3 linked regions of the Stegostoma tigrinum genome follow. The protein of the gene in region 1 interacts with the protein of each later gene in a pairwise test. Links are inferred from orthologs where the notes say so. Each region holds a gene or a part of one and is shown in the gene's direction. Other genes may lie near its edges.

Evidence for each region.
Region 2: the proteins of wdr4 (region 1) and protein FAM118A-like interact in binary tests that used the Homo sapiens proteins (3 or more experiments, as listed by UniProt). The two-hybrid records come from large-scale screens. The link is inferred for Stegostoma tigrinum from reciprocal best matches to the Homo sapiens genes WDR4 and FAM118A.
Region 3: the proteins of wdr4 (region 1) and rabggtb interact in binary tests that used the Homo sapiens proteins (3 or more experiments, as listed by UniProt). The two-hybrid records come from large-scale screens. The link is inferred for Stegostoma tigrinum from reciprocal best matches to the Homo sapiens genes WDR4 and RABGGTB.

What each region holds. Positions count from the first base shown.
Region 1 is NC_081365.1:949,014-959,346, forward strand, and holds the start of wdr4 (tRNA (guanine-N(7)-)-methyltransferase non-catalytic subunit wdr4), read left to right. Parts: upstream 1-5,752; 5' UTR 5,753-5,813; coding exon 5,814-5,911; intron 5,912-6,034; coding exon 6,035-6,073; intron 6,074-10,333. UniProt on the Homo sapiens protein: Non-catalytic component of the METTL1-WDR4 methyltransferase complex required for the formation of N(7)-methylguanine in a subset of RNA species, such as tRNAs, mRNAs and microRNAs (miRNAs).
Region 2 is NC_081371.1:20,274,477-20,284,970, reverse strand, and holds the start of protein FAM118A-like, read left to right. Parts: upstream 1-6,415; coding exon 6,416-6,480; intron 6,481-10,494.
Region 3 is NC_081361.1:100,985,318-100,995,762, reverse strand, and holds the start of rabggtb (geranylgeranyl transferase type-2 subunit beta), read left to right. Parts: upstream 1-5,855; 5' UTR 5,856-5,936; coding exon 5,937-5,939; intron 5,940-10,445. UniProt on the Homo sapiens protein: Catalyzes the transfer of a geranylgeranyl moiety from geranylgeranyl diphosphate to both cysteines of Rab proteins with the C-terminal sequence -XXCC, -XCXC and -CCXX, such as RAB1A, RAB3A, RAB5A and RAB7A.

The sequences.
Region 1 (10,333 bases):
AGAAGCTAGGAGGTAATTTCCACAGGCGGGTGAAACTAGAACTTGGGAGCATAGCATCAAAATAAGGGGAAACAGATTTAGGACTGAGCTGGGGAGGAACCTCTCCATCCAAAGGATTGTGAATCTGTGGAATTCCCTGCTCAGTGAAGCAGTTCAGCCTCATTGAATACTTTTAAAGCAAAGAGAGATAGATTTTTGAAGAGCAAAGGAATTCAGGATTATGGCAAGCAGGTGAGCAAGTGGAGCCGAGTCCATGAGAACATGGAACATAGAACAATACAGTGCAGAACAGGCCCTTCGGCCCACGATGTTGCGCTGACCTGTGGACTAATCTAAGCACCCCCCCCACACTATCCCATCATTATCCATATGCTTATCCAAGGGCTGTTTAAATGCCCCTAATGTGGCTGAGTTAACTACATTGGCAGGGAGCGCGTTCCACACCCTTACCACTCTCTGAGTAAAGAAACTGCCTCTGACATGTCTTAAATCTATCACCCCTCAATATGTAGCTATGCCCCCTTGTACAAGCTGAAGTCATCATCCTCGGAAAAAGAGTCTCACATCAGCCATGATCTTGTTGAATACTGAAGCAGGCTCAATGGGCCAAATGGCCTACTCCTGCTCCTACTTATGTTCAAAGAGAACTGACAAGGTTGAGCTGTTTAAACTTCAAGACGAGGAATATTACAAACAAGGCAGTTAGTTAGGGGCACAGACAGACACACAGAAGCAGGGTGTTGTTGCTGTAACTTGGTTAAAGGGGGACCAAACTGACAGCTCAACATACTAGAATATGGAGTTTTCAGGCAGGATAGAGTGGGTGACAAAAATGGAGAGGGGTAGCTGTATTGATTAAAGAATCAATTACAGTTTTTCGGGGGGGTTGGGGGGAGGGTGCTGGTATATGAAGCAGGTTAACAAATAAGGCTTTATGGGTTGAGCTGAGAAATTAAAAAAGGGGCAGTCACACTGCTAGGAATACACTACAGAGCCCCAAATAATGACAGGGAGATAGAAGAACACACACGTAGACACATTTCTGCCTGTAGGAATAAGAGGGCAAGAACAGCAGGAGACTTTAAATATCCCAATAGCAGCTGGGCTATAAATGATATAAAGGGCACCGAGGGTGAAAAATTCATAGTGTGTGTCCAGGAACCTTTTTTGAAATGATACGTGACAAGCCCAATGAGTGGAGACGCAATTCTAGATTTAGTTTTGAGAAATGAAGATAGACAAGTGGGTGAAGTGAGTGTGCGACCATGCCAGGACAGTGGCTACAATTTGGCTCGTGCTCATGTTAGTGTGGGTAAGGACAGAGATAAATCAGGAAGAAAGGTTTTACACTGTGGCAATGGGGAGGTAAATGTTACAATGAGAAATGATTTGGCTGAGGTGAGGTAGACTGGACAGGACTGCTAAAGGAGAAATCAATGGTATACCGGGGGGAGGAGGCGCTAAATGTGAGATCCTTATGGCACAAAAACAGATATGTCCCCTCCAGAAATTAGAATGGAACTACCATATCTAGATCCCCATCACTGTCTAGAAAAGTACAGGGCGAGATTAAACAGAAAAAGAAAGCTCGCTCTGTAGATAGCCTGGAGGAGTATAGTAAGTACAAGGATCAAGTTTAAAAAGAAATAAGGAAATCAAAGAGACGGCATGAAAAAATATTAGCAAGCAAGACCAAGGAAAACCCAAAGATGTTTTACTGGTATATAAAGTGCAAAAGGATAGTTAAGGAAAAAGTGGAACCTACTAGAGATGAAGAGGGGAACTTGTGTGAAGATGCAGTGGGTGATGGAAAGGATTTTAGATGATTTTTTTCATCTCCACAAAGGAAATGGATGATGTGGATATAATAACCCAAGAGGAGCAGTCTGAAATATTGGACAACATTATAACACAAGAGGCAATGTTCAAGGAGTTGGAATCCTCGCAAGTAGAAAAGTTGCCAGGGCCGGATGGATTGTTCCCTGGGATGTTGAAGGTGGTCAGTGAGGAAATAGCAGGTGCTCTGAGGCTTATTTTCCAATCTTCAGTAGACACAGGCGAGGTGCTGAAGGAAAGCAAATATATTATTTAAATAGGAAAATGGCAAACAATTATAGATCAGTTAAGTTTTGTTTTGGTGGTGGGCAAATTGCTAGAATCAATCGTGAGAGGAAGGCATGGGCTGGTCTGGGAGAGCATAGCTTTGTAAGAGAAAGTCATACCTTTACAAATTTTGATTGAATTCTTTGTGGACGTGACAAGAGGATCAATGTGGATATTGTCTACATGGAGTTTAGTAAGGCATTTGACAAGATCCCACAACTAGACTGATCCAAAAGGTAAAAGCCCATGGGATCCAGGGTAATGTGTCAAATTAGATCCAAAGTTAGCTTAGTAACAGGAAACAAAGGCTAATGGTCGATGGCTGCCCTTCAGAACGGAAAGCTGTTTCACATGATGTTCCTCAGAGCTCAGTGTTGGGATACCTGCTGATATTTTATGCAGGGGTTATAGATTCAGGCTAAGTGTCAGGAGGATTAGGAGGCAAGTGAACAAAAGCTTATTTTTTAAATACAGAGGGTATTGGTTGCATGGAATTCGCTGCTCGAGTTGGTGGTGGAGGCAGAGACCCTAAACTGCTGCAAAAAGTCCCTATATCTGCACCTTAAGTGCTGTAAGCTGCAGTGCTATGGGCGCTGTGAAGGAAGGTGAGATTAGAAAGGGCTTCTGGGTATCTCTGGATCGGCATGGACAAGATGGGTCAAATGGCTCCCTCTGTGCTGTATTATTTCTATGAGTTGACAGACTTTAGTGTCCCTGAACACACATCTTTAAAGCTGGAAGGTAAAGTGATTAAACCAGTATGAGGGTTAGCTGTGTTTATAAATAGAAGGATGGAATATGAAAGTGAAGAGATTGTACTGGAAATTTACGAATCACAGATTACACCTCAGCTCGTGTATTACGTTCATTTACACCACACTTCAGCAAAGGTGTAAAAGCCTCCAAAAGGGAACAGAGTTCTGACTCATCCAGTATTCCTGTCAACTGGGATCATAAGAAGGTGGACAATCCATTCCCTCCAGGAATAACCAGAAGATTTCAAATCATTGCAAAAAGATCTAGAGAGGAGAAAGAACGTTCCTCTCAGAGAGTTGTCAGATTTGGAGCACTAGACCTGAAAAGAGTCACAGAATTATAGAATCGCTACAGTGTGGAAACAGGTCCTTTGGCCCAATAAGTCCACACCTAACCTCAGAGCATCTCACCTAGACCCATCCCCCTATAAACCCACTTAATCTACACATCCCTGAACACTATGGGCAGTTTAGAATGGCCAATCCACCTAACTTGCACATCTCTGGACTGTGGGAGGAAACCGGAGCACCTGGAGGAAGCAGACACAGGGAGAATGTGCAAACTCCACACAGACCGAGGGTCGAATTGAACCTGGGGTCCCTGGCCCTGAGAGGCAGCAGTGCTAGCCGCTGAGCCACCGTGCTGCATGCTGGTAGAAACTGATCTCAAATTCCATAAGGCAGTTGGAGAGCTTTTAGAGGATGATGAACTAACATGGCTAGGGGCAAAGAGCTCTTTCAAAGAACCAGTACTGTCCCAAAGGCAAAATGGCCACATTACGTGCTAATGTAATACTTTCTTCACCTTTCAAATGAACATATGAAGAATAAACAAACCCAGTCCATGGAGAATGGTACTAGCCACTGCCTGACAGTAACTCAATGTGGTGATGTTACTGCAGTGTTCATCCAGAGGCCCAAACAAAACAAATGGTCTACCTTATGTGAAGGGAATCTTCTGCCCTTACCTGGTCTGGCCTAGAAGTGACTCCAAACTCACAGCAAAGTGTTTGATTCTGAAGTGTCCCTTAAGTAGCCCAGCAAGCCATTTAGCTGTATTAAACTGTGGGGAAGTTGAAGGTGAAAGTTTAAGGAAGATGTGAGAAGCCAAGCTTTTTGTTGATGCCCCACATCCCACAAAAAAAGTCTCCATTTGTAAAATTGAAAGTAGATCAACATCCAAAGTATAATCTGTATTTCCAGGCCGCTAATCAGTAACAATTAACCTGAACCAATAGCTCCATGTCACTAACCTGTAACTAATAAGCCCCGGACCTGTAACCAGGCAAACGGTCTGGATTTCACATAGGTGTCCGTACAAAAAAATACTCATACATCTATGTGTCTCTTATTTTTAACTCTTGAAGTAGGCAATGCTGTTAATATTCTGCATGGTGTGTTGGCAGAGAAGGCAAAGCAAGTTTATTTTTGGTCTTTATTTATAATACCAAATGTTTTCTTGTTGGGTCTCTCAAGTGCCCAGTATGAGGCTACAATTCCTAGTTATGGACAACATTCACATTCCTTACCCTTAACTTTCTTCTTCTTTTGTGGAGCTGTAGCCTTGGTAGTGAGAGTCACTGCTTGAAACCCCGACCTCACCATCAATACCTGAAATTCCAAAATCATCAAATATTCTATTGATAAGACAATATACAATAAATCGAGGCATGTTTTAACTCTTCACTTTACAGACATGAGGACGAAGGCATGAATGCCAAATTTCAATCATAAAATTTACACGACATGGAAAAGAAACTGTTGACTGGATGTAAGTTGACTCTGGTGAAAGGTTTGCCACAGAGAAGTGAATGGCAAATGTTCGGTCCTGTTCTCTGCAAGCAAAACGAAAATGTTCAAACATTGCACCAATTTTAAATTCCCTGAGAGTGTGGAAATCTATAGTATTACATTGGCTGAGATGTTGCAATGGAGAAGGGAATCAGAATTGATTTGACCACAAATAGTCATTTTTCTCCTGAAAGTTGCTGCAACTGCTTTAATTTGCTATTCTTACATTTAATTTTGATGGGTCCAACGAAAAAAGCTGTGAAAATGCAACTCTCTGTTCAACTTCTGCACTACAAATTGAATGTTTGAAAACTTGGACATCTACATTTACATAGCACTTTTCAGGACCAGTGGACTTTTCAAACGGTCTTACAGCCAATTAAGGACATTCTGAATTGCTATCTCTGTTGTAATGTGGAATTGTCAGGGTGTCCAACTCTGATGAGGCTGGCTTTTGTGGGACGTGACCGTGATCGGCAACACCAGCAACTATGACTGCAGGGTGAGCTGGGGAGAGCGGGTTTGCTGGTGATGAGGGAGGTGAGGCGGGTGGGGGCTCTGGTGAGGGGGGTGGCTCTCACAGTGAACAACATTCCCAGTCTCCGTTTCCCAACGGCTGAGCTGAAAGAATAAAACAATCCACACCTTAAGGAGAACCGCCAGAGAATGAGGCAATCCCCGCGAAAGTCAGGCAGTTGGCCATTCTGAGAGCACAGCAAGATCCCACTAACTTCACATGACGTACTCCCTTCAGCGGAGACTGGGGACAGGCGACAAAAACCAGGAACGGCCCCATCCCCTGGAGTCACCCTCGGCGGGGGGCTCACACCGGGCCCGCCCCGGGTATTAACTGTAAACACAGGGCCGTGCCCGGTAAATGTGGGTCTGAGAGAAGCCCGCGGCCTGTCCCGCGCGCGCGCGCACACACACACACACAGGCCGCGACATGCCCCTGACACAGCCAGAGGACAGGCCAAGGCTTCAGGCTCTGTACCTGCCGCAAACCGCCGAGCCTGCATCCCCACAGCGCCGCCGCCATCTTCACATTCAGCACTGACCGAGCCTCGCCGGAAATGACCCGGACCCGACCACCGGGGACGCCGGAAATGACCCGGACCCGAATCCCGGGTACGCCGGAAGCTGGCTGGAAGTGAATAGGTGAAGATGGCGTTGGGTCGTTGCGGTTCCCTCGTGTTTCTCGGCGGCGGCGGCGGCGGCTCATCGCCTCCCCGCATCGCGGGCGTCACGCTCGGGGAGAGCGGGTAAGGAGCCGGGGCCGTGCGCTCCCACCCCTGTCAGCTGTTGTTACCGTCGGCGCTCTGTCACCTCCCGTGTTCACTGGTGTATTTATTTTTTATACTCTTCCCCCTCCCCCTCTCCCACAGGAAACCCTTTGTGTATGACATCCCCCCACAAACAGGAAGGTAAGCTCTGTCAATACAGTATCTAACTCTGCCCCCCACAAACAGGAAGGTAAGCTCTGTCAATACAGTATCTAACTCTGCCCCCCACAAACAGGAAGGTAAGCTCTGTGAATACAGTATCTGACATCCCCCCACAAACAGGAAGGTAAGCTCTGTCAATACAGTGTCTGACTCTGCCCCCCACAAACAGGAAGGTAAGCTCTGTGAATACAGTGTCTGACTGCCCCCCACAAACAGGAAGGTAAGCTCTGTGAATACAGTATCTAACTCTGCCCCCCACAAACAGGAAGGTAAGCTCTGTGAATACAGTATCTAACTCTGCCCCCCACAAACAGGAAGGTAAGCTCTGTGAATACAGTATCTAACTCTGCCCCCCACAAACAGGAAGGTAAGCTCTGTGAATACAGTATCTGACATCCCCCCACAAACAGGAAGGTAAGCTCTGTGAATACAGTGTCTGACTGCCCCCCACAAACAGGAAGGTAAGCTCTGTGAATACAGTATCTAACGCTGCCCCCCACAAACAGGAAGGTAAGCTCTGTGAATACAGTATCTAACTCTGCCCCTCACAAACAGGAAGGTAAGCTCTGTCAATACAGTGTCTGACTGCCCCCCACAAACAGGAAGGTAAGCTCTGTGAATACAGTATCTAACTCTGCCCCCCACAAACAGGTAGGTAAGCTCTGTGAATACAGTATCTATCTGCCCCCCACAAACAGGAAGGTAAGCTCTGTGAATACAGTGTCTGACTGCCCCCCACAAACAGGAAGGTAAGCTCTGTGAATACAGTATCTGACATCCCCCCACAAACAGAAAGGTAAGCTCTGTGAATACAGTATCTGACATCCCCCCACAAACAGGAAGGTAAGCTCTGTGAATACAGTGTCTGACTGCCCCCCACAAACAGGAAGGTAAGCTCTGTGAATACAGTATCTAACTCTGCCCCCCACAAACAGGAAGGTAAGCTCTGCGAATACAGTATCTGACATCCCCCCACAAACAGGAAGGTAAGCTCTGTGAATACAGTGTCTGACTGCCCCCCACAAACAGGAAGGTAAGCTCTGTGAATACAGTATCTAACGCTGCCCCCCACAAACAGGAAGGTAAGCTCTGTGAATACAGTATCTAACTCTGCCCCTCACAAACAGGAAGGTAAGCTCTGTCAATACAGTGTCTGACTGCCCCCCACAAACAGGAAGGTAAGCTCTGTGAATACAGTATCTAACTCTGCCCCCCACAAACAGGAAGGTAAGCTCTGTGAATACAGTATCTGACTGCCCCCCACAAACAGGAAGGTAAGCTCTGTGAATACAGTGTCTGACATCCCCCCACAAACAGGAAGGTAAGCTCTGTGAGTACAGTATCTAACTCTGCCCCCCACAAACAGGAAGGTAAGCTCTGTGAATACAGTATCTAACTCTGCCCCCCACAAACAGGAAGGTAAGCTCTGTGAATACAGTATCTAACTCTGCCCCCCACAAACAGGAAGGTAAGCTCTGTGAATACAGTATCTGACTGCCCCCCACAAACAGGAAGGTAAGCTCTGTGAATACAGTATCTAACTCTGCCCCCCACAAACAGGAAGGTAAGCTCTGTGAATACAGTATCTAACTCTGCCCCCCACAAACAGGAAGGTAAGCTCTGTGAATACAGTATCTGACATCCCCCCACAAACAGGAAGGTAAGCTCTGTGAATACAGTATCTAACTCTGCCCCCCACAAACAGGAAGGTAAGCTCTGTGAATACAGTGTCTGACATCCCCCCACAAACAGGAAGGTAAGCTCTGTGAATACAGTATCTAACTCTGCCCCCCACAAACAGGAAGGTAAGCTCTGTGAATACAGTATCTGACATCCTCCCACAAACAGGAAGGTAAGCTCTGTGAATACAGTATCTATCTGCCCCCCACAAACAGGAAGGTAAGCTCTGTGAATACAGTACCTATCTGCCCCCCACAAACAGGAAGGTAAGCTCTGTCAATACAGTATCTGACTGCCCCTCACAAACAGGAAGGTAAGTTCTGTGAATACAGTATCTGACTGCCCCTCACAAACAGGAAGGTAATTTCTGTGAATACTGTATCTGACTGCCCCCCACAAACAGGAAGGTAAGCTCTGTGAATACAGTATCTGACATCCCCTCACAAACAGGAAGGTAAGCTCTGTGAATACAGTGTCTTTGGAGTGTGGGATAAAACCGGACCATGAGAAGGAAACCGATGCCGACACGAGGATAATGTGCAAACTCCACACAGACAGTCCTGAGGGTAGAATCGAACCTGGGTCTCTGGCGCTGTGAGGCAGCAGTGCGAACCGCTGATCCACAGTGCCTCCATCACAGCCTGTGCCAGAAACTTGCCTTCTCCTGGAGTTTACGAGATCACAAACTGTGGAGCTGGATGAACAGAGCAGGCCAAGCAACATCTTAGTAGCGCAAAAGCTGATGTTTTGGGTTGAGACCCTTCACCAGAAAAGGGGGATGGGGAGCGGGTTCTGAAATGAATAGGGAGAGAGGGGGAGGCGGACCGAAGATGGGTAGAGGAGAAGATAGTTAGGGAGGGGATAGGTCACTTTGGGCTGTCACATCAATGAGTACCACTCACGTTTGAACATCGAGCAGTTTTTCTGCCAACTCTGGTCCGTCCTTCCCGGACTGACCTATCTCCTCCCTACCTCCCCACCTATACTCTCCTCTCCACCTATCTTCTCTATCCATCTTCGGCCTGCCTCTCTCTCCCTATTTATTTCAGAACCCTCTCCCCATTCCCCTCTCTTCTGGTTGCAGCAGCAGCGCGAGCGGGAGCTTGGAGCAGGGGCCTCTCGGGAAGCCGGTGAGTCACGGTTATTGAATCTTTAAAAAGCTTACCTCGTGAATAGGCGGAGGTACGCTGAGCAGGAGCGGACACAGGACTGGTGAGTGAGTGAGGTAATATATTTGTGGTTGCGTTACCCGAAACACTACCCTGGTAGTATCTCCCACCCATCCTCCTCCTCTAACCAAAAAAAAAGTTCTGTGTGCCTGATTGGTAAGTTAACAAGTTTATTTTTTATTCTTTTTTTTTAAGTCATGGGAAGGGAGGTCAGGGCAGTTGAATGTTCCTCCTGCAGAATGTGGGAGGTAAGGGTCACCACTAGTGTCCCTGCTGACTACATCTGCGGGAAGTGCACCCAACTCCAGCTCCTTGAAAACCGCATTAGGGAACTGGAGCTGGATGAACTTCGGATCATTCGGGAGGCAGAGGGGGTTATTGAGAGGAGTTACAGGGAGGTAGTCACTCCTCAAGTACAGGAAAAAGGCAGATGGGTTACGATCAGGGGACAGAAAGGGAACCGGCAGGCAGTGCAGGGATCCCCTGTGGCCATTCCCCTTAACAATAAGTATACCGTTTTGGATACTGTTGGGGGGGACAACTTACCAGGGGAAAGCAGTGGGGCACAGGTCTCTGGAACAGAGTCTGCCCCTACTGCTCAGAAGGGAAGGGGGAAGAGGAGCAGAGCATTAGTCATCGGGGACTCCATAGTTAGGGGGACAGATAGGAGGTTCTGTGGGGACGAGAGAGACTCACAGTTGGTGTGTTGCCTCCCAGGTGCCAGGGTGCGTGATGTCTCTGATCGTGTATTTGGGATCCTTAAGTGGGAGGGGGAGCAGCCCCAAGTCGTGGTCCACATTGGCACCAAAGACACAGGTAGGAAGAGAGATGGGAATTTAAGGCAGAAATTCAGGGAGCTAGGATGGAAGCTGAGAGCTAGGACGAACAGAGTTGTTGTCTCTGGTTTGTTGCCCGTGCCACGTGCTAGTGAGGCGAGGAATAGGGAGACAGAGGAGTTGAACACATGGCTACAAGGATGGTGCAGGAGGGAGGGTTTTGGATTCTTGGATAATTGGGGCTCTTTCTGGGGTAGGTGGGACCTCCACAAGCAAGATGGTCTTCACCTGAACCAGAGGGGTACCGATATCCTGGGGGGGAGATTTGATAAGGCTGTTCGGGTGGGTTTAAACTAATTCAGCAGGGGGATGGGCACCAAAATTATAGTTCGACTATAAAAAAGGTTCAGAGTAGGGTGGTCCAAAATGAAGTTTCAGGGAAGCAAGATGTGTCTGCTTCAATGCCAGGAGCGTCCGAAATTAGGTGGGTGAACTTGCAGCATGGGTTAGAACCTGGGACTTCGATGTTGTGGCCATTTCGGAGACGTGGATAGAGCAGGGACAGGAATGGTTGTTGCAGGTTCCGGGATTTAGATGTTTCAGTAAGAACAGAG
Region 2 (10,494 bases), on another chromosome or scaffold:
TCAATTTATTCTTTTTCTAGATGATTATAAATCCTATCCCTGATAACCTTTTCCAACACTTTACCAACAACTGAGGTAGGGCTCACTGGTCTATAACTACCAGGGTTGTCTCTACTCCCCTTCTTGAACAGGGGAACCACATTTGCTATCCTCCAGTCATCTGGCACTATTCCTGTAGACAATGACGAGTTAAAGATCAATGCCAAAGGCTCGGCAATCTCCTCCCTGGCTTCCCAGAGGATCCGAGGATAAACCCCATCCAGCCCAGTGGTCTTCACCCTCTGAAGGATTTCTAATACCTCTTCCTTGTGAACCTCAATCCCACCTACTCTAGTAGCCTGTATCTCCGTATTCTCCTCGACAACATTGTCGTTTTCTAGAGTGAATACTGTTGAAAAATATTCATTTAGCGCTTCCCCATCTCATCTGACTCCGCACGCAACTTACCACTACTATCCTTGATTGGGCCTAATCTTACTTTCATCATTCTTTTATTCCTTAAATACCTGTAGAAAGCCTTAGGGTTTACCCTGATCCTATCCGCTAACAACTTCTCATGTCTCCTCCTGGCTCTTCTGAGCTCTCTTTAGGTCTTTCCTGGGTACCTCGTAGCCCTCAAGTGCCCTAACTGAGCCTTCACATCTCATCCTAACATAAGCCACCTTTTTCCTCTTGACCAGAGATTCCACCTCCCTCGTAAACCACGGCTCCCGCACTCTACAGCTTCCTCTCTGCCTGACAGGTACGTACTTATCTAGGACACACAGGAGCTTTTCCTTGAATAAGCTCCACGTTTCTACTGTGCCCATGCCCTGTTATTTCCTTCCCCATCCTATGCTCCCTAAATCTTGCCAAATCTCATCGTAATTGCCTTTTCCCCAGCTGTAACTCTTGCCCAGTGGTATACACCTATCCCTTTCCATCACTAAAGTAAACATAACAGAATTGTGATTGCTATCACCAAAGTGCTCACCTACTTCCAAATCTAACACCTGGCCAGGCTCATTACCCAGTGCTAACAGACTGTTGCGATGTCGTTAGCCTTGCACGTATTCTTCTCAGCGACTAGTGAGTGTGAATGAAAAATAGCTCTGGCAGAACTCTAATTAGATGCTAGTGATTGACACAGGCCTCCGTGCTATAGCCGTGTCCATGAACTTAGTATTATATTGGCAAAAATGAAGGGGTATGAGGTGCCTGGACTCTTTGTTGCAGGTCCTTGCCCTTCACAGAGATGCAGGGAGTTAGGTGTGTGCCCTTCTTTTCAAAGGGAAATGTGGCTGCCTTCTTTTTCTAGAATTTAAGCAGGGGGCACTCCTCATTTAAACTGTGGCTCTAGCCCCTGAATAGAATCATCATCTCAAAATGACTCTTGAGACAGAAGGAGTCTTGCAGAGGACATTATCAAAGCTGTTTCAATACACAAGGAGAAACAAATAGCTGCCAGCTTGCTGTTCAGTTCATAGGAAAACTTTCTATCGAGACCTAATAAAAGCACCTGACTGCATTTAGGATATGTGAATAATTAAAAATATTTTGATTTTAAAGCTTCTTTTCAGATGAGCTCCTTAAATATTTGAGATGATAGTTTGGATTGTAATTTGATGTACTTGCTATAACTTTGAACTAAATTCCACATGTAGTTAATTAAATTCAATGTATGGGATTTAATATAATCTTTAGGAATGGATTAAACAGCTAACTAAAAGGTAAGAAAGAACAAGTATTAGTCGAATTGTGTTCAACGGAGCAGGACCTGGGATTACTGGGTTTGGTTAACTGAGTACTGCAGAGACTCGGGTAGTTCATACTAGACAAACATAGTCTTTAAAATGCATATTAGGAAATTTTGTCATGCAAAACATGATCAAATGTGGATTATAGAATAAACTTCCTGAAAATAAATACTCAAATCAATGGACAAGCAATTCACTATTATACTTGCATATAATGACATCTTTTTGAATAGGTGAATTGAAGTGGATAAGTTACCTTCCTCACCTTTAATTATCTTTTGACTTTTGTACAGGGACAGAAAAGGGAATAGGGATAAACCGACACACGTATATGGATAAAGTGAGTTTTATGTTTTTGACTGTCAAGAATGGCCTTTATTCTTACAAGTGAATAGAATGTAAAGGTGATCTGAGAATTTTTTTTTTTACAAACTTTTAGTCCAGAACATGTGTTTTTGCCATGTATGTCCATCTGTGGATTAACATCAATGTGGTGGTGTGAGTATTAAGAGGTTCACTATGCTGCATTATTCGTACTAGGCTGACTGAAAAGTTAAATTGCGCATAGGAAAGGAAAAGTGATGAATTGACTAAAATTTAAATCTCAGTTATTGGGGATTCTTGAAAGCCAAATTACACATATGTATGAAAGAAAGAGGAAAAAACCTGCTTGGATGCTCTTATGGATTCTACTTTATGTAGAAATTAAAAACTGTCTTTTTTAAGAGACTATCCAAAGTAAGAAATGGTTAGTAATCATCTCTCCAAAATATGTGCCAAATCTGCCCCGAAAAGCTACCAAAATGCTTGGGAAAATACTATCATTTGGCAATAGCACAAGGTTCTATTCAGGGGAATGAGCACAAGCCTAGCCTGTCCAACCTATTCATTGTCACATATTTGTCTGGTAAACCTTCACTGAACTGCTTCCAATGACTGGTCACCTTTGTTAAAGAAGGATGGCAATCATGCTCCATATAGTAATCGTTATCTCCTGACTTTTGTATTCACTATGTGACACGAGGGCACAGAGTGTACAAATGGAAGAGTGCACCTGGAAAAATAGTAAAAGGACAGAATTCCTGTCAAGCTTCTATTCCATTCGCCCAATTCCTCTGTCTGCATTGCATCTGTTCCGATGATGCCAACTTTGACATAGGTACCTCTGAAATATCCACTTTCTTTCTCAACTGCGGATTCCCGAACACCGTAGTTGACAAGGCCCTCAGTTGGGTCTAACACATCTCCCACACTTCGGCCCTCATCCCCTCTCCCACAACCGTGGTAGGGTTTCCCTTATTCGTACCAACTAAGCCCCCATCATTCACATCCAGAGGATCATTAGCCACTAAGACCACCATCTCCAGGCAGACATTCCCCTCCCCTCCCCTCCCTTGTTAGCCTTCCTCAGGGACCATTCCCTCCAAGACACCCAGGTCCACTCCTCCTTCACTCCCAAATTCTCCCCCACAGTCCCATGGCACTTTCCCCTGCAACTATAAAAGATGTAACACCTGTCCATTTACTTCCTCCTTTCACGGTTTTTAGGGCCCAGATGCACTTTCCATATGAAGCAGTGCTTTACCTGCACTTTAATCTAGTTTACTCCATTTGCTATTCACAATGTCACCAATGGCAAAATGAAGCATAGACTAGGTGATTGCTTCGGAGAACATCTATCGCAAAACAGACCCTGAGTTTCCAGTTGTCTGCCACTTCAACACACAACCTTGTACCTGCCAACATCTCTGTCTCAGGCTTGCTGTAGTGCTCCAGCAAAGTTGTGGAGCTTATGGATTCTACAGTGCAAGCTGGAAGACCAGTACCTCATTTTTCTGCTTGGGAACTCTACACCCTTCTAGAAACTCAGGTTCAACAATTTCCGGGCTTAAGCTCTCCCATGTCCATACCCCAACCCCCCATATACCAGGCCTTGTTGTCACATGGTCTACTATTACACATAACCCATTGTTAGCCATGAACAATCCCTATTAACAGCTATACATCCTCATAACCTGGTTGCTATCTACTCTGTTGTTGGTTCAATTGTCCTCTCCTCTCTGGACTCTCTCTCCACCTACTGTTTTACTTTGTACTCCCTGCCCAACGCTGTCTTCTGCATAAAAACCAACATTTTCCCAGCTGCCATTGGACCCAAAATGTTAACTCTTGATTTCTGTCCACAAATGCTGCCAGACCTGTTGAGCTTTTCCAGTAATTTTTGTTTTTTGTTTCAGAATTAAATGTGCTTAATCTGAATGCATGCTTCATTTGTCACTGGTTGGATGAAATGATGGCACTAATAGAAACAGATTAGCATGATGTGACTGCCACTACAAGTTGAGGTTATGAACTGATCTCATCTGAGTCCTGAGCTTCACTAAATATAAGGAATGGGGTAAATCTGTTTTTAAAAAAAATGAATGAGATCAGGATAGTAGTGAGCAATTATTTTACTTTAGGAGGAACGTGATTTAGAATTGGTTTGTATGGAAATAAGGAACAGCAAAAAAAGTTACCTATTGGAATTGTTTATGCCATAACAATAGATACATTGTAGGCCTGATTAAAAATAAAAACATGATGAAAACTTGTAAGAAAAATGTTACCACTTGGCAATTTGAATCATCTTGCGGATCGGAAGAATGAAATCAGCAAAAATAGTTTGGGCGATGAACTCATAGTGTATTCAGGGCAGTGTTTCTTTTAATACATTCCAGATCAATTCAGGTAGCAGCCAATTTTATACTGGGCAATGTGTAATAAAACAGAATTCATAGTTTCTTCACTATACAGGTATATCATTTATGTAAGAATCCTGAGAACTGGGATTCATAAATGCAAATAAATGCTCGGAAATAGGTTGAAAGGAGATAAGTGACAAACGTTTATGGAGATATTTCAAAACTCTGAACAAACATATTTTCCATTGAGAAACAAAGACTGAGAGACACAACATTTTTGGCAATCTAAGAAAATTAAGGGTGTTATCAAATTGAAACAAAAGATATGCAATGATACAAAGTTAAGTGATAGGATGAAGATTGAAATATTTTAGAAATAATGACCAAAAAGAGGGAAAAATTAGAATAGAAGAGAGAGCTGGCAAGAACTGCAAAAACAGTAGGAAAATAAGCTGTATGATCAAAATTAGACCATTTGGCTCATTAGTGAAACATATTCCATGAGATCATAGCTGATGTAATGATCCTCCACTCCATTTTCCTAACCTTCTATACGTATGCTATAACAGAAAATTAAGAAAGCTAATACAATTATCATTCATTGCAAGGAAATTAAATACAAAGGGAGGAAGTTATGCTTATTATATGGGGTACTCTTGATCACCTTTGTTTAAAGAAGGATGACATTCATTGAAAGCAGTTCAAAGATGGTTTACTGAACTAATAGCTGATGTGAACAGTTGGACAGCATAGGCTTATACCTATTAAAATGTTAGCAGAATAAGAAGCAATCTGGCTTTTTAAAAAAAGTCATAAGGCTTCCTGACAGAAGAGATGTGGAGAGGATGCTTTCTTTTACAAGAGAGTCTAGAACTACGGATTACCATTGAAGCACGAGATTGCCCACTTGAATGGACAGTGAGAAAGCAACTTATTTTTTCCCCACAAATGTCAGTCTTTGGAACACTCTTCCCGACAGGAACAAATATTTGGGCACTCGAGTCTGGCATTGAACCCACAAATGAATGAATGTAATCAGAAGTAGTGATTGAATCAAAGATAGTAGGAACTGCAGATGCTGAAGAATCTGAGATGACAAGGTGTAGAGCCAGATGAACACAGCAGGCCAAGCAGCATCAGAGGAGCAGGAAAGCTGATGTTTCTGGCCTAAACCCTTCTTTCTGAAGACATGTCAGCTTTCCTGCTCCTCTGCTACTTTGCCTGCTGTGTTCATCTGGCTCTACACCTTGTTATCTAGGGATTGAGTCAATCCTGATTATTTAATTTTAGTAATGCCATTAAAGGTCTCTTGTAAACTACAGTGTAAACAAATGTTCACTGTCAAGGCCGATGGGTTTTTAGAGCAGAGTGAAATAAATTGGAACAGTTTATGGGCATTGCTCATTTTCAGTTTGCTAGAGGACAATCCTCACGTTTGATTTTGGAGAACCAGAGCTAAGTTTAGAACCAAAACAGACAAGGTAGCCCTGGTAAACATTCTGATCAGATAGAGAAGGTTAAAATTTCAAACATAAAAAGGTTAGATGGGCGAGAGGGAGAAGAGTCTTAATTTAAACTGTTTGAACAAAGTGGGGAGCATCCTCTGAACCTAGTGAAAATAAGGGCACCTGTTCAAGAACTGGAAGTTTCACAAGCTAGCCAACCAGGTGAGATGGCTGATTGCCTTTACCCCAAAGAAGCCCTTTTTCTACATCTAATTCACTGAAGAAGAATTAGGTGGGAGGGTGAAAGAAAGAAGAAGAAACAGCTGAGAATGCAAAGGGGATAACCTCCTCCCACGCCAGAAAGGAAGCTTTGAAAGTAAGCAATTCCAGAAATCCCGTATGTTTCTATGTATTCCTCTGCTCGCTCTCCTTTTCTCTCTCTGCATTGAGTGTTAGCAACGTTTCTGCTTTGATTTCAAATTTTCACCGTCTGTATTTTTATTTTGGAGCACTGACAGTGGGCTAAGTTTTGTGTTGATATGTGAACAAAATGTTTTTTTTTCAGGTGCACATGGATTTAGTTCATCCTTCTCAAAACCTTGAGCAGAAGTCCAGGTAAATACCCAACAATGGAAATGAATATGACTTACAGCAAAAGGAGTGATATGATTAGTGCAGAACACAAAATTTAAAATAAATCTTCCTTGGTGAGATAGCCAAAGTCTGTAGTGCATGACTTTACTAAAGTCAAAAAAAAATGAAGGATGTAATGATTAGATCAAGCTAAATTAGATTTTACAAACAGAGTTGCTTAGCTTTTTGTTCTGGAAATAATTAAGTCAATTAGGAACCTGCAAAATAATTTTAATACATTGAGCATGGGGGAGAAAAGTCAGGAGTTCTTTGTAACAATTTGCATAATGAGTTAAGAATGCATTGTCATGATGTGAAAGAGGTTTTTTACATTCCTTTGTGGGTTGTGGGCATCTAAAGCTAGACCAGCATTTATTACACATCCCTAAGTGCCCAGAGGGTAGTTAAGAAACAACCACGTTGCCTTTGTCTGTAAGTAGGGATGGTAGATTTCCTTACCGAAAGGTAATTAGTGATCCAGATGGGTTTTTTTCCTGACAATCTGCATCAGCATCACCAATGGGCCCTGCTTTCCAGATTATTATTGAATTCAAATTCTACCATTTACTACGGCACGATTCAAATCCAGATCCCTAAGACACTAACTAGGTCTCTGGATTTTTAGTTTAGTGATGTTACCGCTAGGCCATTGCCTACCCTATTTAAAGCTAAACATCGTAAAGGAAATTAATCAGGTGACCGCCTTTTCTTGTACTAGTTAATTATTTTTTTATGTGAGCAGTTTTCAAAAATTCCTTTTTGGGGTATGGGCATGTCTGGCAAAACCAGCTTTTGTTGTCTGAGATAGCAAAGTGTGGAGCTGGATGAACACAGCAGGCCAAGCAGCATCTTAGGAGCACAAAAGCTGATGTTTTGAGCCTAGAACCTTCATCAGAAAAAGGGAATGGGGAGAGGGTTCTGAAATAAATAGGGAGAGAGGGGGAGGTGAATCAAAGATGGATGGAGGAGAAGATAGATGGAGAGGAGACAGACAAGTTAAAGGGGCGGGGATGGAGCCTGTAGAGGTTAGTATAGGTAGGGAGGGGATAGGTCAGTCCGGGGAGGACGGACAGGCCAAGGGGGTGGGATGAGGTTAGTAGATAGGAAATGGAGGTGTGGCTTGAGCTGGGAGGAGGGGATAGGTGAGAGAAAGAACAGGATATGGAGGCTGGGGCAAGCTGGGCTGGTTTTGGGATGCAGAGGGAGCTTTGAACTGAGTGGCTGGCTCGCATAGTTAAGATCCTGCCACATTAATGAGGGACTGGGGTTACATGAGGTTGGATAAAGTAAGGGTGACAGATTTTCTTTGAAGCAATCAATAATGAATAGTTGTGACAGCCACCTTTACTGTTTTTTTTTATTTCGCATTTATTTATTAACTTTAAATTTATCAGCAGCTATTGTGGATTTGAACTCTGAATTTAACACTGCCACTGTCACCACTTGCCCACCATAAGCATATGTGTATTGTGTTGATGTTTATGATCTGAGATGAAGCTTTACTTTTTAGTGTGAATTTTTCAATTGAAAATGATATTAAACTACTTGAATATGATGTCAAGACTGGAGACAGAGAGAAACATTGTTGATTTATGACCATTTGGTCAAGTTTTCCTTGTCATAATTGGAAATGTGATATCTTGGTGTACGATTTGTTCGTCACATTTTAAGTTAGATTTAATCTTCACTTGAAATATGTTACAACATAAGCTAATTCAGGTGAGCAAGTTTGGTGCATCCACCCTTAAATTGCTGAGAAATCAAGTTACTCAAATTACTGAGTTTAGAACTATTTTGTTCTTGCCTTCAAAGTGAATATGGAAAAAAAATGACAATGTGAATATGCTTTTGATAGGTATAATTCACGTGCTTCCTCCCACGCTCCATATTTTTTCAGACTCTTATGATCCGAGCTGATGTTAATGCTCAACAAGTCATATCCCAGGGTTGGTAACCTGTAACCTTTTTAACTATGTAAGTCAGTTGCTGAACACATTTATACGAATCTGCAAGTGTTCTTTGACCATGTAACATGTTTATTAAACAAAAAAAATTGAATTGTATTGGATTAGACAAAAAAGGCTATAAAGATTTCAGTGCAAGCACCTGCAAAATGTTTTGAATTCAAGATAGTCTGTTTATCCCAGCAATATCCTTATAATCTCAAATCTTAATGAAGATTCAATATTATTTCCAGAACAAAACTTCTTCCCAAAACTGGTAATATAGGAAACATAGCCGAATTATGCATGAAAAGATTCCACAAACAGCAACGTGACCGTGATCAAAAAAATCACTTTCAGGAAGCTATGGACTTGGATCTCTACATCCCTTTGCACCTGGGTGTCCTGCTATTTACTGTATAGTTTCCTCTTGCATTGACTTTTCATAATACATCACCTCAGCTTGTCCAGATTAAACTCTAATAAGAACCAAAAGAACTGCGGATGCTGTAAAATGAGGAAAGGTCACCGCACCCGAAACGCTAACTTTTTTTTCTCCTCCACAGATGCTACCAGTTCTGCTGAGCTTTTCCAGCAACTGTCTTTTTGCTCCAGATTAAACTCCATCTGTCGTTTCTTCACCCAGCTTTCTAACTGATCTGTAGCCGGTTGTATCCCTTGATAAACTTCCTCATTGTCCACAACTCCAATTTTGCACGTCCGCAAAATTACTAATTGGACAGTCTACATATTCATCTAAGCTATTTACATATATTACAAACAACCAAATTCCCAACACTGATCCTTGCGAAACACCACCTGTCAGAGAACTCCACTCATAAAAAGCTCCCCCACCACCCCTCCCCCAAAAACATGACTATTATTTGTCTTCTTTGACCAAGCCAATTTTGTATCCAATTTGCGATATTATCATGGATCCCATGCAACTTAATCTTCTGGACCAGCCCACCATGAAGGACCTTGTTGATACATTTAGTAACATCCATGTTGACAACATTCACTACCCCATTCTTATCAATCAACTTTGTCACTTCAACAAAAGAACTCCTCAAGTTTGAGAGACAAGATCTCCCCTGCACAAAGCCATTGCTATCCCTAATAAGTCGACTCTTTCCCAAATGCAAGTAAATCCTGTCCTTAAGAATTGCTTTCCAGTAATTTCCCTACCAATGATGTAAGACTCAATGATCTATAATTTCATGTGGTAACCCCGTTGTCCTTCACAAAGGAAGAATATTAGCCATAGGTGGGGTCACAAAATAGCCAAAGACCTCAGCAATTTCTAACCTGCCTCTGTCAGTATCATAGGATAAATCCTGTAAGGCTGTGGGGACGTATCTATCTCGGAGTTTTTCAAGTTACCCAACACTACCGCTTAACATCGACATACCCCAGCACATCAATGTTGCCCATCATCCTTTTACTACTTGTGAACACCGATGTAAATTACTCATTAAGGACGTAACCCACTTTCTCTTACTCTGCACCAGTTTACTCTTTTCTCCTTGACTGAATCTACCCTTTCTCCACTTAGCCTCTTTCTCGTAATATATGTATAAAATGCCTTTGGACTCTCCTTATTCTTATTCCTACTTGCAAAGGCCATTTCATGGCCCTTTCTAGTTCTCCTAATTCCTTGTTTAAGTTCTTTTCTGCTCCCTCAAGGGTCTTGTTTGATTTCAGTTTCTTAAACCTTACTTATGCTTTCTTTACCCTTTTAGACTAAGCTTTCAACATCTGTTGTCATTTATCGTGCTTGAATCTTGCCATCCTTGTATTTCATCCTCACAGGAACATGCTGGTTCTGAACTCTCATCAAATGGCCTTTAAAAGACTCGCACATATCAGATGTGGGTTAACTCTCAAATAGTCGCTCCCGATCTAATTCTCCAATTCCTGCCTAATACTGTTGTAATTAGCCTTCCTCAATTTTAGTACTTTCACCCAAGGACCAGTGTTATCCTTATCCACAACAATCTTAAAATTGACTGAATTATGATCACTGTTCCCAAAATGTTCTCCCGCAGAAACT
Region 3 (10,445 bases), on another chromosome or scaffold:
AGAGGCGCGGATGGAGCCAGTAAGGTAAGTGTAGGTGGGGAGGTAGGGAGGAGATAGGTCAGTTCAGGGAGAAAGGACAGGTCAAGGGGGCGGGATGAGGTTAGTAGGTAGGAGGTGGGGGTGGGGCTTGAGGTGGGAGTAGGAGATAAGTGGGGGGAAGGACAGGTTAGGGAGGCAGGGACGAGCTGGGCTGGTTTTGGGATACGGTTGGGGGAGGGGAGATTTTGAATCTTGTGAAGTTCACATTGATACCATTGGGCTGCAGGGTTCCCAAGCGGAATGTGAGTTGCTGTTCCTGCAACCTTCGGGTGGCATCATTATGGCACTGCAGGAGGCCCAGGATGGACATGTCATCCAAAGATTGGGAGGGAGAGTTGAAATGGTTCGCAACTGCGAGGTGCAGTCCACCTTTCTATCACTGAAATGCTCCATCCCAGAAATATCCTGGTGAATCTCCTCTGCATCCTCTCCAGTGCAATCACATCCCTCCTACAATGTGGTGATCAGAGTCGCATACGGTACTCCAGCTGTGGCCTAACCAAAGTCCTGCACAGCTCCAAAGTGATGTCCATGCTTTTATAATCAATGCAAAGCCTGATCAAGGCAAGTATCCTGTATGTCACCTTAACTCCTCTATTAACTTGTCCTGCCACCTTCAGGGATCTGTGGACATGCATCCCATGATCCTTCTGTTCCTCTGAGCTTCCTAGTGTACTGCCATTCATTGAGTACTCTCTTGTCTTTTCTATCTGTATTGATCTGCCTATCTGACCAGACTGTTTATATCCTCACCTCTCACTTCCTACAGACTAAGGGGGTGGCCATGGGCACCCGCATGGGCCCCAGCTATGCCTGCCTCTTTGTAGGTTACGTGGAACAGTCCCTCTTCCGCACCTACACAGGCCCCAAACCCCACCTCTTCCTCCGGGACATTGATGACTGTATCGGCACAGCCTCTTGCTCCCCAGAGGAGCTCGAACAGTTCATCCACTTCACCAACACCTTCCACCCCAACCTTCAGTTCACCTGGGCCATCTCCAGCACATCCCTCACCTTTCTGGACCTCTCAGTCTCCATCTCAGGCAACCAGCTTGTAACTGATGTCTATTTCAAGCCCACCGACTCCCACAACTACCTAGAATACACCTCCTCCCACCCACCCACCCTCCTGCAAAAATTCCATCCCCTATTCCCAATTCCTCCGCCTCCGCCGCATCTGCTCCCAGAATGAGGCATTCCACTCCCGCACATCCCAGATGTCCAAATTCTTCAAGGACCGCAACTTTCCCCCCACAGTGATCGAGAACGCCCTCGACCGCGTCTCCCGTATTTCCCGCAACACGTCCCTCACACCCCGCCCCCGCCACAACCGCCCAAAGAGGATCCCCCTCGTTCTCACACACCATCCCACCAACCTCCGGATACAACGCATCATCCTCCGACACTTCCGCCATCTACAATCCGACCCCACCACCCAAGACATTTTTCCATCCCCACCCCTGTCTGCTTTCCGGAGAGACCACTCTCTCCGTGACTCCCTTGTTTGCTCCACACTGCCCTCCAACCCCACCACACCCGGCAACTTCCCCTGCAACCGCAGGAAATGCTACACTTGCCCCCACACCTCCCCCCTCACCCCTATCCCAGGCCCCAAGATGACATTCCACATTAAGCAGAGGTTCACCTGCACATCTGCCAATGTGGTATACTGCATCCACTGTACCCGGTGTGGCTTCCTCTACATTGGGGAAACCAAGTGGAGGCTTGGAGACCGCTTTGCAGAACACCTCCGCTCAGTTCGCAACAAACTACTGCACCTCCCAGTCGCAAACCATTTCCACTCCCCCTCCCATTCTTTAGATGACATGTCCATTATGGGCCTCCTGCAGTGCCACAATGATGCCACCCGAAGGTTGCAGGAACAGCAACTCATATTCTGCCCGGGAACCCTGCAGCCTAATGGTATCAATGTGGACTTCACCAGTTTCAAAATCTCCCCTTCCCCAACTGCATCCCTAAACCAGCCCAGTTCGTCCCCTCCCCCCACTGCAACACACAACCAGCCCAGCTCTTCCACTCCACCCACTGCATCCCAAAACTAGTCCAACCTGTCTCTGCCTCCCTAACCGGTTCTTCCTCTCACCCATCCCTTCCTCCCACCCCAAGCCGCACCCCCATCTACCTACTAACCTCATCCCACCTCCTTGACCTGTCCGTCTTCCCTGGACTGACCTATCCCCTCCCTACCTCCCCACCTATACTCTCTCCACCTATCTTCTTTTCTCTCCATCTTCGGTCCGCCTCCCCCTCTCTCCCTATTTATTCTAGAACCATCACCCCATTCCCCCTCTCTGATGAAGGGTCTAGGCCTGAAACGTCAGCTTTTGTGCTCCTGAGATGCTGCTTGGCCTGCTGTGTTCATCCAGCCTCACATTTTGTTGTTTATATCCTCCTGTAGCTTAACACCTTCCTCCTCACCATCAGTCACTTGGCCAATCTTTGTGTCAATTACAAGCCTGCATATCATCTCTCCCACATTCTCATCTACATTATTTATGAATATCACAAACAATAGTGGACCCAGCACTAGATTCCTGTGGTATGCCACTCCACATTGGGCTCCAACCATTGGGGTCCAATTACACAAACAGTTTTCTACCACCACCCTCTGTCTCCTGTCATTCATTTTGCATCCTACAATCCGACCCCACCACCCAAGACATTTTTCCATTTGCATCCTACTTGCTAAGTTACATTAGATCCTGTGAGCTTTAACTTCCTTTATCAGTTTCCCATATTGGACCTTCTCAAAGGTTTTGCTGAAATCCATATTAACTCTATCATCTGCCCTACCCTCATCTACCATTTAGTCACCTCCTTGAAAATGCCACCGGATTTGTTCGGCAAATCAGTTCATTACAGGACAGATATGAATGCATTTACAAGAATGATTCCAGCAATAAGGAACTCAGTGATGAGGACAGATTAAAAAAATTCGGACTGGTTGGCTTTGATTAACAGTGGGATCGAGTTTAAGAGCCGCGAGGTTATGCTGCAGCTCTACAAAACCCTGGTGAGACCACACTTGGAATATTGTGTCCAGTTCTGGTCGCCCTATTATGGGAAAGATGTGGAGGCTTTGGAGAGGGTGCAAAGGAGGTTTATCAGGATGCTGCCTGGACTGGAGGGCTTGTTTTACGAGGAGAGGTTGACTGAGCTCGGACTTTTCTCTTTGGAGAGAAGGAGGAAGAGAGGTGACCTGATCGAGGTGTACAAGGTAATGAGAGGCATGGATAGAGTCGATAGCCAGAGACTTTTCCGCAGGGCAGGATTGACTGCCACGAGGGGTCATAGTTTTAAGGTGTTAGGAGGAAGGAGACGTCAGAGGGAGGTTCTTCACCCGTGAGTTGTGAGCACATGGAATACTTTGCCAGTGGTAGTCGTGGAAGCGGAGTCATTAGTGACATTTAAGCGACTGCTGGACATGCACATGGACAGCAGTGAATTGAGGGGAATGTAGGTTAGGTTATTTTAATTTTGGATTAGGATTATTCCATGGCACAACATCGTGGGCTGAAGGGCCTGTACTGTGCTGTACTTTTCTATGTTCTATGTTCTGTGGTTTATTCGGAGAGAAGGAAGCTGCATGGGAGATTTGTTAGAGGTTTTCAAAATCATGACTGAGCTGGACAGAGTAAATCATTTAATTTTCCTCATTGCTGAAGCCTTTTTAAAATTCATTCATCTCTGGCTAGGCCAGCATTAATTGTGCAGCCAGTTGCCCAGACGGCAGTTAAGAGTCAACCACATTGCTTTGAGTCTGGAGGCACACATCGACCAGATTATGTAAGGACGACAGATTTCCTTCCCTAAAGGATATGAGTGAGCCAGATTTTTACAACAATCGACAATGGATTTATGGTTATCGTTAAACTCCTAATTCTACTATCTGTTGTGATGTGACATGATCCTATGTATTATGGCGGCACAGTGGCTCAGTGGTTAGCACTGCAGCCTCACAGCATCAGGGACCCAGGTTTGATTCCAGCCTCAGGCGACCATCTGTGTGGAGTTCGCACCTTCTCTCCGTGTCTGCGTAGGTTTCCTCCGGTAGTCCAGTTTCCTCACACAGTCCAAAGATGTGCAGTCTAGGTGGATCGGCCACGCTAAATGGCCCGTAGTGTTCAGGGGTGTGTGGGTTATAGGGGGATGGGTCTGGGTGGGATGCTTCAAGGGGTGCTGTGGACTTGTTGGGCCGAAGGGCCTGTTTCCACACTGTAGGGAATCTAATCTATGTCTCCAAAATATCACTTGGGTATCTGGATTAACAGTCCAGCAATAGCATCACCAGGTCATTGCCTCACCGCCTGAAGCTTGTAAATCACTTCTGCACTCTTCCCAATGCATTCACATCTTGCAGCTACATTTTGAGCTGATCCATTAGTTAAAGTGTTTTCTCCATCTCCCCATGAAACAGGAGAGGGATGGGAGTTGAGAAAGCGAAAGAAAGGCAAGCAGGCAAACGATATGAAGAGATAGTAGGAACTGCCGATGCTGGACTCTGAGATAACAAAGTACGGAGCTGGATGAACACAACAGGCCAGGCAGCGTCGGAGGAGCAGGAAAGGCTGATGTTTCAGGTCTGGACCCTTCTTCAGAAATGGGGAGGGCAGGGGGCTCTGAAATAAATAGAGAGAGCGGGAGGCAATGATAGAAGATGAATAGTGGAGCAGACAGGTGGGAGAGAAGACAGAGAGGAGTTGATGATGATGCCAGTACAGGTGAGTGTGGGTAGGGAGTTGGGATGGGGGTTGGTCAATGAGGAGGGAGGGGTGGGTAGGTGGGAGTGAAGATGGACAGGTCAAGGAGGTGGGTATGAGACGAGGAGGTAGGAAGTGGGGGTGGGGGGTTGGTCAGTAAGGTGGGAGGAGCAGATCAAGGAGATTCTCCAGCATCTGCAATTCCTGCTTTCTGAAGAAGGGTTTAGGCCCAAAATGTCAGCCTTCCTGCTCCTCTGATGCTTCTTGGCCTGCTGTGTTCATCCAGCTCTACGCCTTGTTATCTCAGCTTTTCCAGCATCTGCAGTTCCTGCTATCTCAAGGAGGCAGGGACGAGCTGGGCTGGCCTTGGGATGAGGTTGGGGGAGGGGAGATTTTGAAACTGGTGAAGTCCACATTGATACCATTGGGCTGCAGGGTTCCCAAGCGGAATATGAGTTGCTGTTCCTGCAACCTTCGGGTGGCATCATTGTGGCAGTGCAGGAGGCCCATGATGGACATGTCATCTAAAGAATGGGAGGGGGAGTGGAAATGGTTTGTGACTGGGAGGTGCAGTTGTTTATTGCGAACCGAGCGTAGGTGTTCTGCAAAGCGGTCTCCAAGCCTCCGCTTGGTCTCTCTGATGTAGAGGAGGCCACACCGGGAACAGCAGATACGAATGATATGAAGGTTTTTTTTGTAAATTTTTTTTAAATAATGATGCAACTGGACCCATAATTACAATAAGAGCCACAGGAGTTAATCAAAGTCTTTAACTGGAGAAGGATCCAAATCTTTGGAACCAAACTGTTGACAAAAGAGGTAAATCGACAGGAAGCTGAAAGTGCACGAACCCAGTGAGTTGTGACAAAAGATTCCTGGTTTTCTGCCTTGAAGCCTCCAGAAGTGGTGAAAATCTGGGAATAAATGCAAGTCCGTCCTTCAGTCCTCTTAACCTTACCCTCCAACTTTTTTTTTGCCTGGTGTTGTCATTGCCATTTGCACAGATTCAAGGAGTGTCTGCTCCCGCAGTGCCCCACTCCCGCCAGCAGGAGGGGATGCTGGGCTCGCACGCAGGCGCGGTAGCGTGCAGGCAGTGACGGGGACAGCTGTGCGGGGCGGTGTCGAGGTCCTGAGTGCGGGGCAGAGCTGGTAGCCGGGCGGCGGAGCGGGAGCGGAATGGTGAGAGAGTGAGCGCGGCGGGTACCGGGGGTGGAGGGAATGTTCTGGAACCCGGCGGAGGATAGGGGGAAGTGGGGGGAGAGGAGGAAAGGTGGGGGGAATGCTCTGGAACTCGGTGGGGAGGGGGGCGGTGTGTCTTCAACTTGGTAATCCCCCACAGCAGCCCCCCCCACTCCCTCACCCACAGCAGCCCCCCCCACTCCCTCACCCACAGCAGTTCTCCCCCCCCACTCCCTCACCCACAGCAGCCCCCCCCCACTCCCTCACCCACAGCAGTTCTCCCCCCCCACTCCCTCACCCACAGCAGCCCCCCCCACTCCCTCACCCACAGCAGCCCCCCCCACTCCCTCACCCACAGCAGCCACCCCCCACTCCCTCACCCACAGCAGCCCCCCCCCCACTCCCTCACCCACAGCAGCCCCCCCCCACTCCCTCACCCACAGCAGTTCTCCCCCCCCACTCCCTCACCCACAGCAGCCCCCCCCACTCCCTCACCCACAGCAGCCACCCCCCACTCCCTCACCCACAGCAGTTCTCCCCCCCCACTCCCTCACCCACAGCAGTTCTCCCTCCCCACTCCCTCCCCAGACTATTTTCTACCCTCACCCACCCCACCCTTGATTCTGTAACCCCACATTCTCAAACAATCAATAGTCATTGAGATGTACAGCATGGAAACAGACCTTTTGGTCCAAGCTGTCTGCACTAACGAGACATCCTGAATAAATCTAGTCCCATTTGGCCCATATTCCTCTTAAACCCTTGCTTATCATGTCCCCATCCAGATGCCTTTTAAGTGTTGTAATGTATCAGCTTCCACCACTTCCTCTGGCAGCCCATTCTGTACACACTCCACCCTCTGTGCAAAGAAGTTGTCCCTCAGGTGTGCTTTTTAGGTACAGGGGCGAATTGATGTGTTTAAAGGATTCGCCGATGGTTTCATAATGCTGGAGTATTTGTATTTTGTCTCTCAGTCAGTGGTTTGAAACTTTAGTATCCGACCCTGTACAACTGTGTAGCCTGTACAGACAGATAATCTGAGCAAACACTCCCAGTGCAGAAAGAACGTTGTGCTGTCGGAGGGTCAGTGCTGAGGGAGTGCTGCTGAATCACTGAAATAGCAGTGTGATTTTTAAAAACATGGTACCTTGTTTCAAGAATTGAGTTGTTAGTACCTGTGAAGTAGTGACTGTATTTCTACATTTATAAGATAATTTCACTGAATAGCAGGAGTGGGCCATTTGAGCCGACTAAGTGATTCAATATGATCTCTGATGAAGGGTCTAGGCCCGAAACGTCAGCTTTAGTGCTCCTGAGATGCTGCTTGGCCTGCTGTGTTCATCCAGCCTCACGTTTTATTATCTTGGAATTCTTCAGCATCTGCAGTTCCCATTATCTCCAATATGATCGCTGGTGATTATCTGAATCAGTCTCCTATTCCCGTTTTCTCCACATGCTTTTGATCCCTTTAGCCCTATGAACTCTACCTAACTCCTCCTCGAAAACATTCACTGTTCTGGCTTCATCCACTATGACAGAGAATTCCACAGGCTCGCCATTCTCTTGGGGGAGAAACTCCTCTTTGTATCAGCCCAAAATGACCTACACTGTACCTTGTCTGGGATCTCTCTTCATTGGGCGCATCCTTTCTGTTTGGTGCAGTTAAAATTTTACAAGTTTATTTGAAACTTCCTCCCCACCTTTTTCAACGTGTGTGAAAATAGGGCCAACCAATCCAGTTTTTCTTCAATGTCTTGTGAATATTAGCTGTCAAGCACTTTGCAACTTTGAGAGTTCCTGATGAGATGGAAAGGAAATGAACATATTTTAAATATTCGAGATAATGGGAACTGCAGATGCTGGAGAATCCGAGATAACACAGCGTGGAGCTGGATGAACACAGCAGGCCAAGCAGCACCTTAAGAGCACAAATACTGATGTTTCAGGCCTAGACCCTTCAACAGAAAATATTGAACTTTTAACGGCTCAAAACTGCCATAGGGCAGTCCTTGATTCCTGGGATATGATAGAGTCGTACAGCATGGAACCAGATCCTTTGGCCCAACTGGTCCATACCAGCTATGTTCCCAAACTAAACTACTCCCAGTTGCCTGTGTTTGGCCATACCGCTCCAAATCTTTCCTATTCATATACTGTCCAAATGTCTTTTAAAGTTTGCGATGTACCTGCATCCACCACTTCCTCTGGTAGTTTATTCAACACATGAATGACTCGCTGTAAAAAAAAAATTGCTCCTCATGTCCCTTTAAAACTCTCTCCTCTCACTTAAAAAATATGCCCCCAGCATGCTGACTAACACCAATCTTTCTTGGACAGGTGGCTTCCATGAACATTTTCAGGTCTCTATAGTGAAGGGATTCTGATAGGAACAGGAGAAGCAATTTATTCCTTCAAGCCATGACTTACCTACTTCGATTGTTGAACCATATCCCTGAATAGTGATAATGGGAACTGCAGATGCTGGAGAATCCAAGATAATAAAATGTGAGGCTGGATGAACACAGCAGGCCCAGCAGCATCTCAGGAGCACAAAAGCTGACGTTTCGGGCCCAGACACTCTGATGAAGGGTCTAGGCCCGAAACGTCAGCTTTTGTGCTCTTGAGATGCTGCTGGGCCTGCTGTGTTCATCCAGCCTCACATTTCATCATCTCATATCCCTGAATACTTTGGTTGAATAAAATTCTACCAGCTCAGTTTAAAAATTAACAAATCAGTTGCGGTTTCCATAATCAGACCTTTGTTTGTGGAAACTTTGCAAGTCCTAGCTTTGGTGAATGTTCACTTCCAAACTCCCCAACCAAGCATTCATGGGCTGATGAGGAACATACTGACTAGATGTGAGTTTGCTCACTGAGCTGGAAGGTTTGTTCCCAGACGTTTCGTCACCTTTTTTTTTTATTTGAAAAAATATACTTTATTCATAGAATGTACAAAAAATAAAACATTTATACACCTACCCAGTCACGCAAGCCACTCCGGGTTATCCGGGGGTACGCACACCAACTAAAGGAAAAAAAACAAAACAGAAAAAAACAAAACAAAGCAAAGAAACCGCCCCGGCAGTCGTCACCCCGCACAGTCCCAGTTGGCCCCCTGACCAGTTGGGGAAGGCGCCAGCTGGGCCCAGTTACCAGATAGGATTCTTTTCCCTTTTCTGGACGAGGGGGCTCATACGGTGGTCTTTCCCCACCGCGCCTTGGCGGCGGCTGCCCCAAGCTTTAGCGCGTCCCTCAGCACGTAGACCTGGACCTTGGAGTGCGCCAGTCTGCAACACTCGGTCGGGGTCAGTTCTTTCAGCTGGCAGACCAGCAAGTTGCGGGCAGACCAAAGAGCGTCTTTCACCGCATTGATGGTCCTCCAGGCGCAGTTGATGTTGGTCTCGGTGTGCGTCCCCGGAAACAGCCCGTAGAGCACGGAGTCCCGCGTCACGGAGCTGCTCGGGACGAACCTCGACAAATACCACTGCATCCCCCTCCAGGCCTCCTGCGCATAGGCACACTCCAGAAGGAGGTGATCAACAGTCTCGTCCCCCCCGCAGCCACCTCGAGGGCAGCGTGCGGTGGTGCAGAGATTCCGGGCATGCATAAAGGATCTCACTGGCAGAGCCCCTCTCACTGCCAGCCAAGCAATGTCCTTGTGCTTGTTTGAAAGTTCTGGCGATGAGGCATTCTGCCAAACGACTTTGGCAGTCTGCGTGGGGAACCACACGACGGGATCCACCCTCTCCTTTTCCCGAAGGGTCCTGAGGATACTACGTGCTGACCACTGCCTGACGGCCTTGTGGTCAAAGGTGTTTCCTTTCAAAAATTTCTCCACGAAGGACAGGTGGTACGGAATGGTCCAACTACTCGGAGCGTTCTGCAGCAACGAGGCTAGGCCCATCCTTCGCAACACCGGGGACAGGTAGAACCTCAGTAAGTAGTGACACTTGGTGTTTGCGTACTGAGGATCTACGCACAGCTTGATGCAGCCACACACAAAGGTCGCCGTCAGGGCGAGGGTGGCGTTCGGTACGCCCTTTCCCCCATTTCCCAGGTCTTTGTACATGGTGTCTCTGCGGACCCGATCCATCCTCGACCCCCAAATGAAGTGGAAGATGGCCCGGGTGACCGCAGCGGCGCAGGTCCAGGTAATAGGCCAGGCCTGCGCCACATACAACAGTACCGAAAGCCCCTCGCACCTGACAACCAGGTTCTTACCTGTGATGGAGAGGGACCGGAGCGACCACCTGCCCAGCTTCTGCTTAAATTTGGCGATACGCTCCTCCCAAGTCTTAGTGCATGCCCCAGCTCCACCAAACCAAACACCCAGCACCTTCAGGTAGTCTGTCCTGACGGTGAAGGGGATGAAGGAGCGGTCGTCCCAGTTCCCAAAGAACATGACCTCGCTCTTACCCCTATTGACTTTGGCACCCGAGGCCAGTTCAAACTGGCCGCAGATGTCCAACAGCCTACTCACCGACCGACGATCGGTGCAGAAGACAG